3 linked regions of the Saccharomyces cerevisiae S288C genome follow. The gene in region 3 interacts genetically with the main gene of each other region. Each region holds a gene or a part of one and is shown on either strand. Other genes may lie near its edges.

What was found. Genes that interact genetically often act in the same process or in processes that back each other up.
Region 1: mutations in YHR210C (region 3) and ECM32 together harm fitness more than expected from each alone (negative genetic interaction), as found in Saccharomyces cerevisiae (one large-scale study listed by BioGRID).
Region 2: mutations in YHR210C (region 3) and YPL034W together harm fitness more than expected from each alone (negative genetic interaction), as found in Saccharomyces cerevisiae (one large-scale study listed by BioGRID).

Annotation. Positions count from the first base shown.
Region 1 is NC_001137.3:538,642-545,555, reverse strand, and holds ECM32 (RNA helicase), read right to left. Parts: upstream 3,867-6,914; coding exon 501-3,866; downstream 1-500. Other genes in the region: YER175W-A (uncharacterized protein), read right to left, coding at 4,742-4,906; TMT1 (trans-aconitate 3-methyltransferase), read left to right, coding at 5,193-6,092; monothiol glutaredoxin GRX4, read left to right, coding at 6,388-6,914. UniProt on the Saccharomyces cerevisiae protein: Probable RNA helicase, which may be involved in modulation of the translation termination process. Probably unwinds double-stranded RNA.
Region 2 is NC_001148.4:483,719-487,709, reverse strand, and holds YPL034W (uncharacterized protein), read right to left. Parts: upstream 999-3,991; coding exon 501-998; downstream 1-500. Other genes in the region: SRL4 (Srl4p), read left to right, coding at 1-348; H(+)-exporting P2-type ATPase PMA2, read right to left, coding at 2,024-3,991.
Region 3 is NC_001140.6:519,086-525,150, forward strand, and holds YHR210C (aldose 1-epimerase superfamily protein), read right to left. Parts: upstream 2,653-6,065; coding exon 1,627-2,652; downstream 1-1,626. Other genes in the region: CRG1 (S-adenosylmethionine-dependent methyltransferase), read left to right, coding at 352-1,227.

The DNA of each region.
Region 1 (6,914 bases), on a different chromosome or scaffold from region 3:
AATTTTGAAAAGTAGGAAAAACTAAGTTATTTTTGCAGAAACTACACGGTTTTATGTTACGGTTCGTCTCGTTTTCAGGTTTAAGGTCCAATAATAAAGAGTTTCCTTTTCCTTTTTCCTTTTTGCTGCGCGTGGAAAAGCGTGTCTTTTTCTCATACCCCTGTTTTTTTGTTTTTTTTTTTATTTTTTTTGCTTTTCTTTGCTTTTTGCCTCGTCCCCCCGCGCCCCGGCCACAAAGAGGAAGCTATTTGCCACCGAGCTTCCTCTTTTGACTCCAGGCCGGAATAAAGTAGCTTCCGCAAAACTTCGCTCCACTTTCCAAAGAGGAAGCCCGTCACGTGGCTGCGCTGTCTCCCCCCCCCCCCCCCCTTTTTCCCCTGTGTTTTCGATCTACCGATTTTCTGTTCTATAACTACGTCCATTATCTATCTATATCTATCTATCTCTGCATTGCGCAATCAATACATAAACAGTGGATTTTCTTGCCGCCGCCTAGCCGGCTAGTAAGCTGTGAGATCAGTGAATATGACCTCTTGTTCCTCGAGGTAGGTAATGTAGTCTTTCCATAGGGGGTCTCCTTTTCTTAAGACATTCTTGTTGCCCACCACAATTAGTCCGTGCTTGGCTCTTGTCAATGCCACGTTTAACCTTCTTTTGTCACGTAAAAAGCCGATTTTGTTTTCGGTGTTATTTCTGACACATGAAAATATGATGAAAGATTTTTCGTGGCCTTGAAAGGAGTCTACGGTCGCGACGTGTAGGCCGTTGATGATGTTAATCACATTGTTTTGTAGACTGCCGGCGGTTCCTTGAGAACCAGCCGCGTTAAATAGCTCAATTTCATCGTATTCTTGTTGCATAGAAATCTGTTTGGGGTTGATAACTACGTTTTTGGTCAAGATGTCAGACAGCAGATCACGCTGTGCAGAATAGGGCGTTATGACACCAATTTCTTCCAGCGGAACCTTCTTGTCCAACATTAGTATTTGGATAATCTTCACGATTTCTACACATTCGTGTTTGTTTTCGTACGTAAACCCGACTATGTCTCTTTGCGTGCTTCTCACTCTGCTCTCGGGCCCCAAATCGCACTGATAAAAAAACAACGGATGCTGCACGCCAGGCCATGCCTTTTGTTCGTCCGTGACACCGTCCTTCAATTCACCATTGTATATTTTCTTAATGGGGAATTCGCTAATTTTTGGGTGCATTCTGTACTGCGTATCCAGCATTAGTGGGTTTTTGTACGTGCCATTAGATAGGACTCTTTCGAATAGTGAGGTTTCCAGTTGAGGGATGTTGCTGAAACTTGACAATTGCTTTTCGTCCCCAACGAAGACAAAATTTCTTATACCTGGTAACGAAAGTGGGACTAGTGTTGAAGCCTCTGATGATTGTGTAGCCTCATCCATTATTACCACGGGACATTCTTTTATAACCTTCAATTCACGACCACCTGCAGCAATGTTTGTCGTGAAAATTATTTGCGATTGAGATACGACCTTGTTGGTGACACGGTTTTTCTCTTTATAAAACTTCGTGTCCTCTGATTTGGAGATCATTTCGCCCCTGCGGGTTTTGTTTGCCACGACTTGCATGTCTGGGGAAAGATTTTTGTATACAATATTGTGGAGACAAATTTCGCCCAATGGGTGGTCATCACTATACTGTTGTTCTTTCTTCTTTGACAAAATTCTTAAGATCTTTATCTGCGGTCTATTCTCCATAATCTTCTCGGCAATGTTATCAATAGCAATATTTGACGCGGCAACACACAATATTGGGAATGCGTGAAATCTTTCAATTACTTGGATGATTATCTCCTCTATTGTTGATGTTTTACCTGTACCAGGTGGGCCTTGTAGAATTGTGATACTGTTGTTTAGAACATGTTCCACTGCAGTCTTCTGAGATCGGTTCAACTTGTCACTGGAAAATTTTAGCCTGTTATCAAAATAAATCTCTTTAATAGGCTTTTGGCCTAGTAATAGGTCAATAAATTTTGGGTTTGTAATACGCGTCATGGCAAATAGAATTCTACTTGTCTGCGCAGAAGTTGGCAATAGCTTAAATTGAGATGAACCATTTTTCGTTGGCAAACTCAAATTATTCCACGAAAAAAGCTCCACTAACAACACGTATTTACCCCTTTGAATAGAAAGTTCTTTGATAAAAATATACCAAACTTTTTGTTCATCCTGAGTACAAAAGAAAAATGGTTGCCTTTCATTAAATGCCGGTCTACCGAGTGCAAGCAAATTTGCAGGTAGTAATTTCTCAAGTTCTGAATTATTATTCTTCTCAACGTTGATTATAAAAGCTGTATCTTTTTCATTGCGAGGCCATAGTATGTTGAAGTTTTGAACAAATTCGTTCTCTAATTTCTGTTCCAAAAAAAGGGCAAATGAGTAATCATTTAGGTATGTGTTCAAATCGGGGTATGATAAGGTTGACTTAAAGGTATTATACCTTGTGAGTGGTTCACCTTCTTCGTAAATAAGTTTCCCGTCCTTAGTTTTTCCATTATTTTTCTCTTGATTTTTTGTCTCCAACTTTTTTGGCATCGTTGTTGTTTTTGATTTTTCATTCAGCGTCGGCTTGCTAGCCTTCTTATTGCGGTTTCGCGATTTAGTAATTGAAGTTGTGTTCTCGTTTGGGCTAATACTAGGTTCTCTAGAAGATTCAGTATCAGATCCAATTGTCCACCTGCTAGTTCCCTTATTTGGCTGGTTATTTGATTTTTTGCCAAGTGCATTCTTTCTGCCAGCTGAATTTAGTTTGGCCTCTCGCGGATTCTTATTACCCGTTTTATCATTGCCCTTAGTCTTCTGGCCAGCATGGTCTTTTTTCCCTTTTTTCAAACCAGTAGTATTAGTACTGCCCGACCCGTTTCCATTCAAAGCTTTTGGTTGCGGTAATTGGTGCTTATCCACTGATTCGTTCTTGCCTTTCCCTCCAGAGTTTGTTGTAACGTGGCTATTGGTATTTTTTCTGTCCTCTGGTATAGGTTGGCTGTTACGGACATTATTTCTAATGTTTGTTTTCCTCTCTTTCTCTTTTCCTATCCCATTTCCACTATTCTTTTTGTGGTTTGCCTTATTTCCTTTCCCTTTGTTTCGATTTGATGGGCCAGGATTACTTCTACTAGTCTCTGATTTGCTTACTTTTGCTGCAACTACTGGATCGCTTTCCACCGCTTTGAAACCTTTGAAGTTTCTTAGATTGGAACTACTAGAGCTTTGAATGGTACTATTTTCTTTCTTGACTTCATAAGCGATTCTACTTATTTTGGCCTCGAAAGTTTCCTTTTTCTCCTTCTTAATCTTAGCACCCTTCCTGCCCTTCTTTCCTCTACCAACTCTTCTGCCGCCCTTTTTTCTAGGCTTTCTAGTGCTATTCTGTGTTTCATTCAGTCCCAAGTAGATGTATAGGAATCTTCCACTTTTTTCAGAAACAAAGTCTTTAGCTCTATTCGATTTGGGCAAGCACTTGTCACATAATACTTCTCCATTTCTATTTGCATTCAAGTTAGACTCTTCCCCACACTCATCACAACAACATTCCCTGACTTTCACGTACTTTTCCCAAAATTTCAATATAGAGCCGTTTTGTAATGAGTAGCTAGTTGATGGACGCTCCGTTTCTGAATATTCTTTCCGAAAACACGAATTACAAAGTAAAACCATGTCTTCACCCCCAAACCTGATGATTTGAAGTTGGTGTATATTTTTATCTTGACATTCCTCACAGCAAATATCTTCATCATTTGAAGTGTCGAATACAGTTTTATGCCTCGTACTTGAGAGATGCTTCATCATCTGCTCAGCATCATAAGCCTGGCTACACGTTCTGCACTGAAAATCCATCGTGTAGTACTTCTTAGTCTGCGGAACTCCTTATATTGTCACAACTTTGTTCGAATTCTTCAAATGATGAACTTACATTATACATCACTCTTGAGCATTTTAAGACTCTAAAATCGCATACAAATAGCATCCATTACCCGACTACACAGGAATAAAATACGGCGGAAATATAAAAAAAAAAAAATAGCGGCATCTTCAATATCTCTGTACTGATTACTAAATAGACGGTAACCAATTCACGTTGCCGATCGAGGTGTGACACATCACTGTCATGTTCATTTTACAATTCTTATTGAGTGAGAGCGCTTGTATAGAATTTCTATCTTTCTTTTAAGAGGTGCAGTTCAAGTAGGATTTAGTTGGAAATGATAACTTGTTTGAGTAAGCTTTGGTTCCGCTTGTTATGACCTGCTTCATTCTCATATAACCTCATTTGTTAAAAATCTAAAAAAGAATCAATTTCTTCGATTATAAGTGCGTACCAAAAAAGCGGCTAATTTTGGTATTTGTGATATCAAATATACATTGCAACCCAATTTTCATCATTGCGCTTGAGTTTACTATTTCAAGTCGGTGTGGTGAAAGGTCTCTCCAATATTTGGGTACCAATTTATCGAAGCAGCTGAAATTTTACGATGTTAGATCGATTCCCGTGTCTGACAGTGTTTGGGCTGCAAATTTTTTGTGCTTCTTGAAGGCAACATGTGAGATCGGGAAGTAAAGCCCGCCAGAGTATGTTCTCAGTAAGTCATATTGACATAACACTTGGATCAATTGCGTATTTAGAAATTAATTCCTGTTTTATTTTAAGATGCTGACATTTCAATTATAGATTTTTAGCCTGTCTTATACCACCTAGAATAATTTGCTAATGTTTAGAAACTGATCTTGGTGCTCACGCTAATATTAAAAAATATACCCTGCCTCAATATCATTATGAGTATTTTATTCTCAAATATCATCCGCGAATTTTCTTGCAGAATATTTCTACAACCACGTTTGTTTTGACTAAAACAGATAAATGTTTTATGTAGTCTCATGCATTGTTAAATGACCAATAAAAAGGGTGTTCCATCAACCTATCTAATCAGAAAAATTAGGTGCAATTCTGCCGTTGTTTACTATAAATGAATCACACCTTATGTGTTGATGTTCATGACTCACAGTAATATCCTTTTTTTTTCTGGTTTTCCGAAAGTTTATCTTCCTTATTTTCATTTTTAAAGGAAAAGGAATGTAACTAATTTAGTATGTTTTCGTTGTAGCAGTCTTTATTAGTTGTTATGAGAATTATCTCCTAACAAGATAACAAAATAAGTGATAATAATGTCTACCTTTTCTGCTTCTGATTTCAACTCAGAAAGATATTCATCTTCAAGACCTTCTTATCCCTCCGATTTTTACAAGATGATTGATGAATACCACGACGGAGAAAGGAAATTACTCGTAGATGTTGGCTGTGGACCAGGTACTGCCACTTTACAAATGGCTCAGGAGTTAAAACCATTCGAACAAATTATCGGAAGCGATCTCTCCGCTACCATGATTAAGACTGCAGAAGTAATAAAGGAAGGAAGTCCTGATACATACAAAAACGTTTCATTTAAGATTTCTTCAAGTGATGATTTTAAATTCCTAGGCGCGGATTCAGTAGACAAACAGAAAATTGATATGATTACCGCAGTAGAATGTGCTCATTGGTTCGATTTCGAAAAATTTCAGCGATCTGCTTATGCCAATTTGAGAAAAGATGGTACTATCGCTATTTGGGGTTATGCGGACCCAATTTTCCCGGACTACCCTGAATTTGATGATCTGATGATTGAAGTTCCTTACGGGAAGCAAGGACTGGGACCCTATTGGGAACAACCGGGGAGATCTCGCCTTCGTAATATGCTGAAAGACTCTCACTTAGACCCAGAACTTTTCCATGATATACAAGTTTCATATTTTTGTGCAGAAGATGTGAGAGACAAAGTAAAACTCCACCAGCATACAAAGAAGCCATTGCTAATCAGAAAGCAGGTCACCCTAGTGGAGTTTGCAGATTATGTCAGAACCTGGAGCGCTTACCATCAGTGGAAGCAGGATCCAAAGAACAAAGATAAAGAAGATGTAGCAGATTGGTTTATTAAAGAGTCACTAAGGAGGAGGCCGGAACTTTCCACCAACACCAAAATTGAAGTTGTTTGGAATACTTTTTACAAACTTGGCAAAAGGGTCTGAAAATTTCAGCCAATAAGCATTATATTCGTGAAATTTTAGTAAGAGCGCGCGTTTTAATTGGTGAAGCCTCGCGACGTATTCACAGATGTCCTAGAAAAAGTTACCATATCTGAAGACTGGTTGATATTTAGCTTAAATAGCATATTAATACTGTACCAGTTGAACCATTTTTTAATCTGTTACTGCCAGGAACGTTGATTCGTTTTCCCGGTAACATTGTTGTCTTTGGGTACTGAGCATATTTCATTTTTCCACTTACATATAACTAAATTTCTGTGCTCTTCCTCCAATAAATATGACTGTGGTTGAAATAAAAAGCCAGGACCAATTTACGCAACTAACCACTACAAACGCTGCTAATAAACTCATTGTCTTATATTTTAAAGCTCAATGGGCTGATCCTTGCAAAACTATGAGCCAGGTGCTAGAAGCTGTTAGTGAAAAAGTTAGGCAAGAGGATGTCCGGTTTTTATCAATAGATGCAGACGAACATCCAGAAATATCAGACCTTTTTGAGATTGCAGCCGTACCATACTTCGTCTTCATTCAAAATGGTACTATTGTAAAAGAAATATCAGCCGCAGATCCTAAGGAGTTTGTGAAAAGCTTAGAAATTCTTTCGAATGCTTCTGCCTCACTAGCGAACAATGCCAAGGGTCCTAAATCTACGTCTGATGAGGAAAGCAGCGGGTCTTCCGATGATGAAGAGGACGAAACTGAAGAAGAAATAAATGCTAGGCTGGTGAAGCTAGTACAAGCTGCACCTGTGATGCTATTCATGAAAGGAAGCCCATCAGAACCTAAATGCGGATTTTCTAGACA
Region 2 (3,991 bases), on a different chromosome or scaffold from region 3:
CAAGAAAAAGCAAAGGGGTTCTATATTGTCAACATATCATCGGTATTGACGTTAAAACCGTGCAAATCAGGAACACATTTTATTACATCGAAATGTGGTATAAACTCTTTCCACGATGGAATAACCTCAGAGCTTAAATTGAAAGATAGTAATTTGAATGTAAAAACGCTGATTGCATATTTACCCAGTTTTGAAAGTGAAGCACATTGGAAGAGACTTTCCCCGAGTATCTCGAAACATCTCGTCCACTGTCTACTTGAGGGAAGATATGGTGATACAATTCTCGAAAGCAAAAGATCAATTGGTGATATTCTTTTGATAACTGGTTTCAAAAGCTCTTTTACTTAAGGGTACTACAAATCGAAGTAACAGTGATAAAATTGCTAAGCACATATATTTCTATAAATAATTCAAGGAAAAGAAAGGTAACACTACAATTTTTATGATGATAAATAATTTGAATAAACCGGCCAGAATAGGCCAAAAAATTTTTTTTAAGTCTAACGAGATTCTCCTCCAAGGCAATAAGAATCAATAAGTCTTAGTACTGATGGTAGCTCCAATACAGGCACATTGAACCACTCTGTATGCCTCTTTTTTCCAGTTGGATCACACCCATAACAGTAAACCAATCCTTTCCCGTATTTCTTCCATAAAAATTTATGAATAGCGCTTTCGATATCTGGTAGTTTCATTGAACCTTTTCCGCTAATGAAAAATCCACCATCTTTATAAGTGCGTAGGGTTGGCACCTTAGGATCTGGAAGGGAAGGCTTGTGTGAGTGACTTTTATCTTTGATGAAAAGTTTCTCCATTTTTTTTTGTAAGCTTGATAATGAAATGGGCAATAGCCTGTTTGAACTGATATTTTTGCTTTCACTTTTCAATTTCAAGTGGTATAATTTATCGACTTTCTCTGGAGTCAAGTTTATCACTGGATGCTTGCATGTGGTTTGCCATTCTAAAAGTCTTGAATCTACTGTTTTTCGAGTGGTCATTCCTATCTTACATAGAATAAAGTCTCTGTCTACCCATTGTCTCTTCTTTTTACCATTAGTCCGAACTATTGACTCATCAATAAATAGCCATTTTAAATCTACCGTCTTTTCAGATATGTATGATTCAAAGAGGTTACTGTATGTATAGATGTAAATAAAACCCGGTTTATTTTGCGCATTATCTCTTGGTGCCCGTGTGTACCTTGCATCTTGCCACTGATGATAATGACAGTACTTTTTATCCGACGGTATGTTTATCTTGCACCGCTCTCCCTTTTTTGTTATGCCTAAGACATCTCATAATAGATTTAGCTTTGATGAGCACTTTTCTGATATAGTCTTATCTATGATGGGAAACAATTCTTTATTTCTCTTGACATTTGATTTCTTATGGTGTTGGACTTCTCGCGGGAGAGGCGCACATACACGACTACATGATAATAACATTATTAGAAAAATATATCAACATAAAAGAAGAAACTGATATAATACGTGCAATGTGCTTGTATGTAAATAAGTGTGCATTATATGTTTATTAAAAATTAAGAATTAGATTGATTTAATGTTTCGAAAAAAAAAATATTTAGTCATTTCACCATGTTGGATGGGAATTCGTGTGTTGTTATTGGAATGATTCTTCCTTTTTGGAGAGGAAAATAGTCAAAAGAACACGAAATAATATGAAAAAAATTTTCCATATGAATTTGCATCCAATCAAGCAAAAGATCGGCCTACTTCTGATATGTGGATATGTTTGTTTGTGTGTGTGTGTGTGTGTGTGTGTGATAAAATTGACAGATATGATGCCACTTAGTCTAAAAACTTGTGTGTAAACTTTAAAACTGTAACATCATATCGAAGGTATCAAACAGAGCACAATTGAAGAGGCATTAATTTGATTTTTGTTGACCGTGTTCTTTTATAACGTCTTGGCTTCCTTGGTATCGACAAATTGAAATGAAAATGAGGAATAACAAAAAGGAGATCAATAAGAAAAAAAATCAGATGGATGATGTTTAAAATTACTAACTGCTTTTTTCGTGTTGAGTAGAAACTCTTTGCATAGCAGCCATGAAATCTTCGACACTTCTTGTAGACTTCTTTTCCTTTAATGACTTACCATTCATCAACCTATCAAAGGCTTGAGACGTGGACATAATATAGTAAAATCCTCCCAATACACAAAAAATACCAATGGACCAAATCCAGACACGAACGACTGACACAATATCAGTCCAGTTTTCAGACCACCAGCCAAATAAGGTAAACATGGTAGCAATAATATCAACGGCGAAAACGGCACCGGCTAACTGCCACGATGGAATGGAAGACCAGAATGGGCCAGCAGCTCTAGTGACAAAAATTAACCAATTTTCAGTTAGTGAAATCTGCAGGAACATGACACCATTCATGGCACCAAAATTTTGGATAATACCACCATTAGGCAAGAACATGGTGGTTAAAGTAATCCAAGAACCTATAGCTAAAACTATGCCCAAAATAATAGACATACCCCATAATCTTGGTAGGTTCCATTTCACAGGTTCAGGAGCATAAGGAGCATTGTCATAAGCAATAGTTAAAGTGGCAACGTCTGCGAAAATAGCAATAAAAACGATCAAATTGATATCCAAAGAGTTGTTTAAAATAGCAATCCATAAACCCAGGAAAATCTCCAAATGTAAGGATAGGGCAATACGATAAACAACATAGGAGTACATTCTGTGGAAAATCTGTCTAGAAGTCTTTAAGGCATCAATAATAGCAGAGAGACCAGGGGCCAAGAAAACAATATCAGCGGCTGATCTGGCAGCATCGGTAGCACCTTCGACAGCAATACCAGTATCAGCCTTCTTCAAAGATGGGGCATCGTTAACACCATCACCAGTCATAGCAACCAAGTAACCTCTGTTTTGCAAGATTTCAACGACTCTGTATTTATGCTGTGGGAAAACTTCTGCGAAACCATCGGCATTTTCAACAAAATCAGCCAACTCTGAACCAGGCATATCACCTCCACCTCCCAGACCTAACCTTTCTGCGTTATAAATGTTTGTACCAAGTCCTAATTGCCTACACGTTTCTTTCGCGATACCAACAGCGTCACCGGTTAACATCTTGATTCTCAAACCAAGGTTTCTGGCCTCATTGATTGTTTGAGCGGTGTCATCTCTAGGGGGGTCCATACATGGCATAACACCCAAGATTTCCCAGTGACCTTCCCCTCTCTTTCTAGCAACACCTAAAGCACGGAAACCTCTAGAAGCTAGTTCAGCAACCTTATTTTCGTAGTTTTCATGCACATCTTCCGGAATTGGGTGATCTTCTTCAACAGTCTTCAAGACAAACAATGGGGCTCCCTTGACACAAACAATTCTTTCACCTTCTGGGGATTCTACAACAGCGGTAACCTTTTTTGAGACAGGGTCGAACGGATGGAATTCCAAAACTTTGTACTTGGTCAGGGCGTCTTTAGCTTTTGGATACTCAATCAATGACTTCAAAAAAGCCTTATCAATAGCATCCAAACCTTTCTTCTTTCTAGAGGCAGCTAAACAAGCGGTCAACATCAAGTCGTCCGGAGAAACGCCTTCGACAGTGTAGGGTTCGTGTAAAGATAACTTGTTTTTGGTTAAAGTACCAGTCTTGTCAGAACATAAAATCTCAACACCAGCAAGGGATTCAATAGCAGATAACTTTTGAACAATGGCTTGCTTCTTAGCCAAGTAAGCTGCACCGACAGCCATGGTCGTGGTAACAACTGCTGGCAAACCGACTGGGACACCAATGATGGTTATACCCAAAGTATATCTCAAAATGCTTACAATACCGACCGTTCTATAGAAACATGCGGTCCAGACCAACAACAAAGTAGCGATAACTAGAACAAGTAAGATAATACCAATTCCATTCAATACTTCAGTGAAATGGCCCTCTACACCGGAAGCCTGCCCCACTAAGGCGGCAGCCCTACCGACGAAGGTATTGTCACC
Region 3 (6,065 bases):
CTGAAGAATAAATTCTAGCGTAGTTCAGAAGAGGTGCAAGTACAGTATGAATAATGGTATGCCTTCCATCATCGTGGCATACAGGTTCAGGCATGAAGAGATGATTATGTTCCCTCACCGGTCCATAATCCTGATTTAAACAGTTCATTAGTATATGTTCAGCCAACACAACAACGAGAAGCTTTGTAGTGAAAGTTTTCCACGATCTATATTTAGCATTCTAATTAGCGGCCCCAAGGGAACGTATATAAACATAAACAAACGGCACGAACTAAAGGGGCAAATTCAAGTTAACCCTTTTACACTCAGTACATCTTCAAAGCCAGTCTTCTGTCAATGGAAGAATCCAGAATGCCTAAAACTAGTTATTTAAACAAAAATTTTGAATCTGCTCACTATAATAACGTACGTCCCTCTTACCCTTTATCTTTAGTCAATGAGATAATGAAATTTCACAAAGGCACACGCAAAAGTTTGGTTGATATTGGATGTGGCACAGGAAAAGCAACTTTTGTCGTTGAACCCTATTTTAAGGAAGTGATTGGGATTGATCCTTCTTCTGCTATGCTTTCGATTGCTGAGAAAGAAACAAATGAACGTAGATTAGATAAAAAGATTAGATTTATTAATGCGCCTGGTGAAGATTTATCCAGCATTCGACCAGAAAGTGTAGATATGGTTATTTCAGCAGAAGCCATCCATTGGTGCAATTTAGAAAGGCTGTTTCAGCAGGTTTCCTCTATATTACGAAGTGATGGAACTTTTGCATTCTGGTTTTATATTCAGCCGGAATTTGTGGACTTTCCCGAAGCCTTGAATGTATATTACAAATATGGATGGAGCAAGGATTATATGGGTAAATATCTGAACGACAACCAACGGGAAATTTTGTTGAATTACGGTGGTGAAAAGCTACGTTCTTTATTGTCAGATCGATTTGGAGATATTGAAGTCACAATTTACAGTCCTTCGGACCCAAATGCATCAACAGTAACGGCTGAAAACAGTCAGTTTCTCTGGAGAGCAGCTATTACTCTCAATCAATTTAAAGAGTTTGTGAAAAGCTGGAGCATATACACTTCTTGGGCTAGAGATAATCCCTCGAAACCGGATATTGCCGATATATTCATTAACGAGCTCAAAGAAATCTGTCATTGTGAAGATTTGAATGTACCTTTAAAAATAGAGTGGTCAACGTTTTATTACTTATGTAGGAAAAGAGAATGAGGTTTACTAAATTAAAAGAAATATATAAAAAGCTGATTTTTTTCTTTTTTTAAATATTTCCCAAATGCTAATAAATATTAAAATATGGCAAAAAGAAAATAAGGTGTTGTTGCGCAGTTGGGAGTAATTTAAAACCGTCAACATATGCTCTAAAAATTTTATTGGCTCTAAATTCCGACCTCTGAATGTAATTATGTTTTAAAGCGATACGTAAACTTGTTACTGTTAACATTAAAAGATAATGCAATCATGGTAACATAATAAAGTCTCAAAAAATTCTTAATATTAACTATAACATATGCACTTCAGAAAGCTGTTTCCGGATCATATCTCATTATAAAAAGCTCAATTTATAGAAAAATAATGCGACAGTGCAAAGTAAACAACTAAATTTGGTGCCTACACCGCAAAACGATATCGAGTCTTAGAAGTATATACCTCACCACGTCTCAAAAGAACGCAGTCTCTCCATCCATCACGGTTGATTGCGTCAACATATCTGCCTTGTTCAACGGCAAAGCCAGATCTCGGCGTAAATCCATCACACAAGTTGTCACCTGTGTAAAATAGGACAGTTGGTTCTGTTGTTGAAACCTCCAATGAAAGTCGTGATGCCGGATGATAAGCCTTGAAGGCAGGGACGAGCTTGTTTACACTTACTGAGTCTGTCGTTTTCAAATTCTTATTTTCATCAACAATGAAAGCGTAGTCATAAATCGGGCCATCATCCTGCAGAATGGTAGGTTTGGAGGAGTCAAAAGTAGCAATTTTTCTTTGAACGATTTTACCGGTTGGAATTAGTGCTCCTTCGCTTACTTCCAATGATTTATCTGAGCAGAGCCTAACCTCCGTACCGCTAATGGATTTTTTATCCATAGTTTTGTTTAAATTGAAGTACGTGTGATTCGTCATGTTGATGGGAGTAGCCTCACCGCTGACCAGTTTTGCCTCGTATTCCAAGTCCAAGGTCATGTCAGCAACGTTCAATGTGTACTTTAAGTTTACAGCTAGATCTCCCGGAAATTCATTGGGCAGTGTGCGGTCATCCAATAACGTAAATTCAACAATGTAAAGGTCATCAAGAGGATTTTGGACTTTGGATGCCTTATACTTCTTGAGATGGAAGGAGCTGATGCTACTGTGGTTGGTGTTTCCACAATTGTTCACTGTCAACTGATGAGGTCCATCTTCCATACTGAACATGCCCTTGTAAATACGATTTGCATAACGGCCAACAGTAGCACCAATGTAGTTGTAGCCATCTGATATATAGCCATGAATATCAGGGTATCCTAGAACAATCGATTCGTTGTTCACTTTCAAGTCAAGCAAAGTAGCGCCAAGCTCTGAAATTGTTGCTTGAAGCTTTTTTGCATCACCAATAGTGATGACTTCATATTCACCGCCAGCCTTATTATTTGACATTATCACTTTTTGGCTTTTTAGGTGAATTTACTTATTGCAGTAACATAATGTACAATTGAGTTCCAGTACTTCGTAGTACATTCTGATTTTATATCTCAGAGCATCCAAGGTGTTTACGCATGAATAACCAAACCATGGAGGAGTTACTTTTACCTTTTTTTAAGATATTCAGCTAGTAACTAATTGTCGGAAAAACTTAACAGGTACAAGGCCATATTATCACGTAACAAACCTAATTTTTGTACGATATTAGTGCCCGAGAATTTCTCCGTAGCGTAATTTTCTGCGAGAATTTCTGCGCAGTGCAAAGATATGCGACCTGACACTCTTTACGAAACTTTACCCCTCCCCCACCTCCACCTGCATTTATCCCGTCAAAAAGTGTCAATCACCTGGATGCATAAGGAGGAAAAATTATTCCAAGGATGTTGGACAACGCGAATTTTGGAAGTGACTTCTCATAAGCTTCTGATCTCTACTATATTCTTGTAATTTGGTGGGGTAGTGCAGGCTTACTGTGCGATGAGCAAATCCAGCGTATTGCTCACAGCGATAGGCCTTTGAAATGATATTGTTTGAATGCAAAACGCAGAAATGATATTCAACTTCATAATCTCATTAAACAAGATAGCATGCCAATAGAATTCCATTTTTTCCGATTCTTAGGCCATTTACAACCAAGTATCAACTTTCGTATAATTTTATTTCCATAATTATACGCAAATGCTGCAGTAGTTGCACATAGAATGATGATACGACCTAATAAAGGAAAAGGGGAATCTGTTCTGAGCTGAAAACTGATTCAAAACTCAATTTGGACACTCGGTTCGGGTGCTGGCCAGCAATAGTTTAGTGTTATCATGTCATAATCTTCCTCATAGGTTTCAATGTAATATCGATAATTACAAAGTAGTTCCTTTTCATTTAAATTTATATGCAAGAAGATAAGAGTTGATGTAGCAGTGCACCAGTTTTGCTTTACAATTCTTACAGTTTTATGAAAAATAATCTCCAATATGCCATGCTGAACTGGCATTCTTTTTGAGTGCAAAAGGAGGTTTTGGAAAAACAAAGTCTTCTTCTGCGTGTTACTCTGAAAATGTTGAAAAATAAGCTGAATGGGGCATTACATGTTTTCATCCAAACATGCCTTGTCAATAACGAGATTCGCGACGTATTCTTTTAGTATTCTGTTCCTTTTTTTTTTTGCTCCGCGCGCACTTGAACATCTTGCATATTTTTCTTTTCTGTTTTCATCCAGAGGTTGTGTTCTAGGACTTTCTGACGGAGGAATATCATCAAATCATCACAATAAGATCAATTGCATGGGTTCCAGCACTTAGCCAAATGTACAAATCTTGATATTTACCGGAGACCAACCCTTAGTTTGAAGTGTGCGCTACCAGGGAATCTTCTTCGGTCATTATTTTCTATCTTCACGATAATCGATCCTCCTCCTATACGTTAATATCGACTGATATCTAAATACATCGTTGAAGAACGGCGGAAAAATACTTATTTTCAGGTTGTCTTCGTTTTCACTCACGATAGCAATATGGATCCTTTCACAGCTCCTATCACCGCTGTAGTTTTTTATGACGCTTAATTTCCTGTTAATAAGTAAATAAGGTAAGTTGAAGGTCCTTCATACTGTGATCTGCAATAAACCACATGGCTACCGCACTTCTTGTCACTATCCTATGTGGAGAAAACCCAGAAAAAACTTTAAAGCGTGATTGAAATCAATAATTTGGCAAAGAACTAGAACCATACGCAAGAAAACCTTCCAACTTTGGCATTGTACGCAGAAATGAGACACGTTCAAAGCACAGGTCTTGAAATTTAAAAAAGTTTCTCAAAAGTTCTCCCAAACCTTCAATTTCTATTGGTATAACAGTATTCTAGGAAGAAAACAGGCGAAGAAAGTTTCTTTACTTTCTTCCTTTAATAGACTTTCATGAATATCAAATGCTGTTGTTTTCAACTAAATCAGACAAGCAAAGGCGATTGCTAAAAGTGAACATATGGAAAATATATGGAAAAAATCTAGAGGCAACAAACGTTCGGGTTTCCTTTTAACTCCGAGAAAGAAAAATCATTAGAACTTCGTGTTAATCCTAATAGAGTTCAAATATGCTACTAGTCGTCAGAAACCTCAGTTACATGATTACACATTCTAAGACTTCACAAGTGAAAAATTTCCCGACGTTCATAGCATGTTACGTGATCGCGCAGGATGGGACAATTAAACGATCTTTGCAGTGGAGAAGGAATAACTTCCGGTTGCAGCTACTTGTCAAACAGAACACTGGTATGGATAAGATAATAGTCAGATCTTTTATTACTTATGAAACAATGTCAGTAACACAGCGTGTTTAACAGATAATGTTCTTTTAACAAAATTAAATGAGGTCTTTTATTGTGTGTGTCAAGTTGACAAGCCGCCTTTATTGATAGATCCCCACTAAAAATACCAGGAAATGATGAGCTCGAGTCTTTGTGCCTTTCTCATCATGGACCATTCGCACATGCAGTGCTGCACAACAAAAGATAAATCACCAGTATTAGGTGACTTTCAAAACACTAGAATTTAGGCACTTTCAACCCAGCCCAGCGCGTAGTAAGAATAAAGTAGGGGAAAACCTTACGAAAAGCCTCTTTCTTTTTTGTAAAAAATTCTGTTTTTAATAGCCAGTTCTTTAGTGATTACAGGTAAGAGGGTTTCATATTTTAGAAGTGCAGCCATGATGAAGCACTTTTGCTCATTTATTGCGAGAAGTTTAATAAGTAGTATGGTTCCATTTTCAAGAATCGAGGCACTGTTCCTTCCCAACCTTGGAATCATACTCCGAAAGGATTTCAAGCCGATTTAAATTCACCTGGTAACTTTCCTACGGTTTGGCCCAAGGTGATTATAATTAACTTGCGGCTTGTTTTCAGCCTGCGATCGAACCTTTTTTACGCAAAAAAACCTTATTAATTAAGGTTTTGAAAATTTTCTTCTTTCCGGGAGATTTTCATGTAGCCTCGAGCTTCTGGATTCTCACGGGATTATCTCGCGTTACATTTTTTACTTTCTTCTTTCTTTTTGACTTAGGATATACAGATGATACGTCATTGTGTCATAAAACCCGCTGTTGTGCAACAAAAGGGAAAAAGAAAAATACTCCTTTTTAGGTCTTATAAATATTTTTAGCAGCCATCAAGTCCGGCTTTCAAACTTAATTTCACCCTTTTTCACGGCACCCTCGAGAATTACACTTTGGTTGCATGCAGGAGTACGCGAAATGCAGCATAAGCTACACATCTATGCGTAGATCGCTTAACCTCTAAAGGCCGTAAACTTTTATTTTGTTTTGCGCTCATTAAAACCTAGTGGGAGCTGGTAGGAAATAAGCTAGTAGCTTCTATGG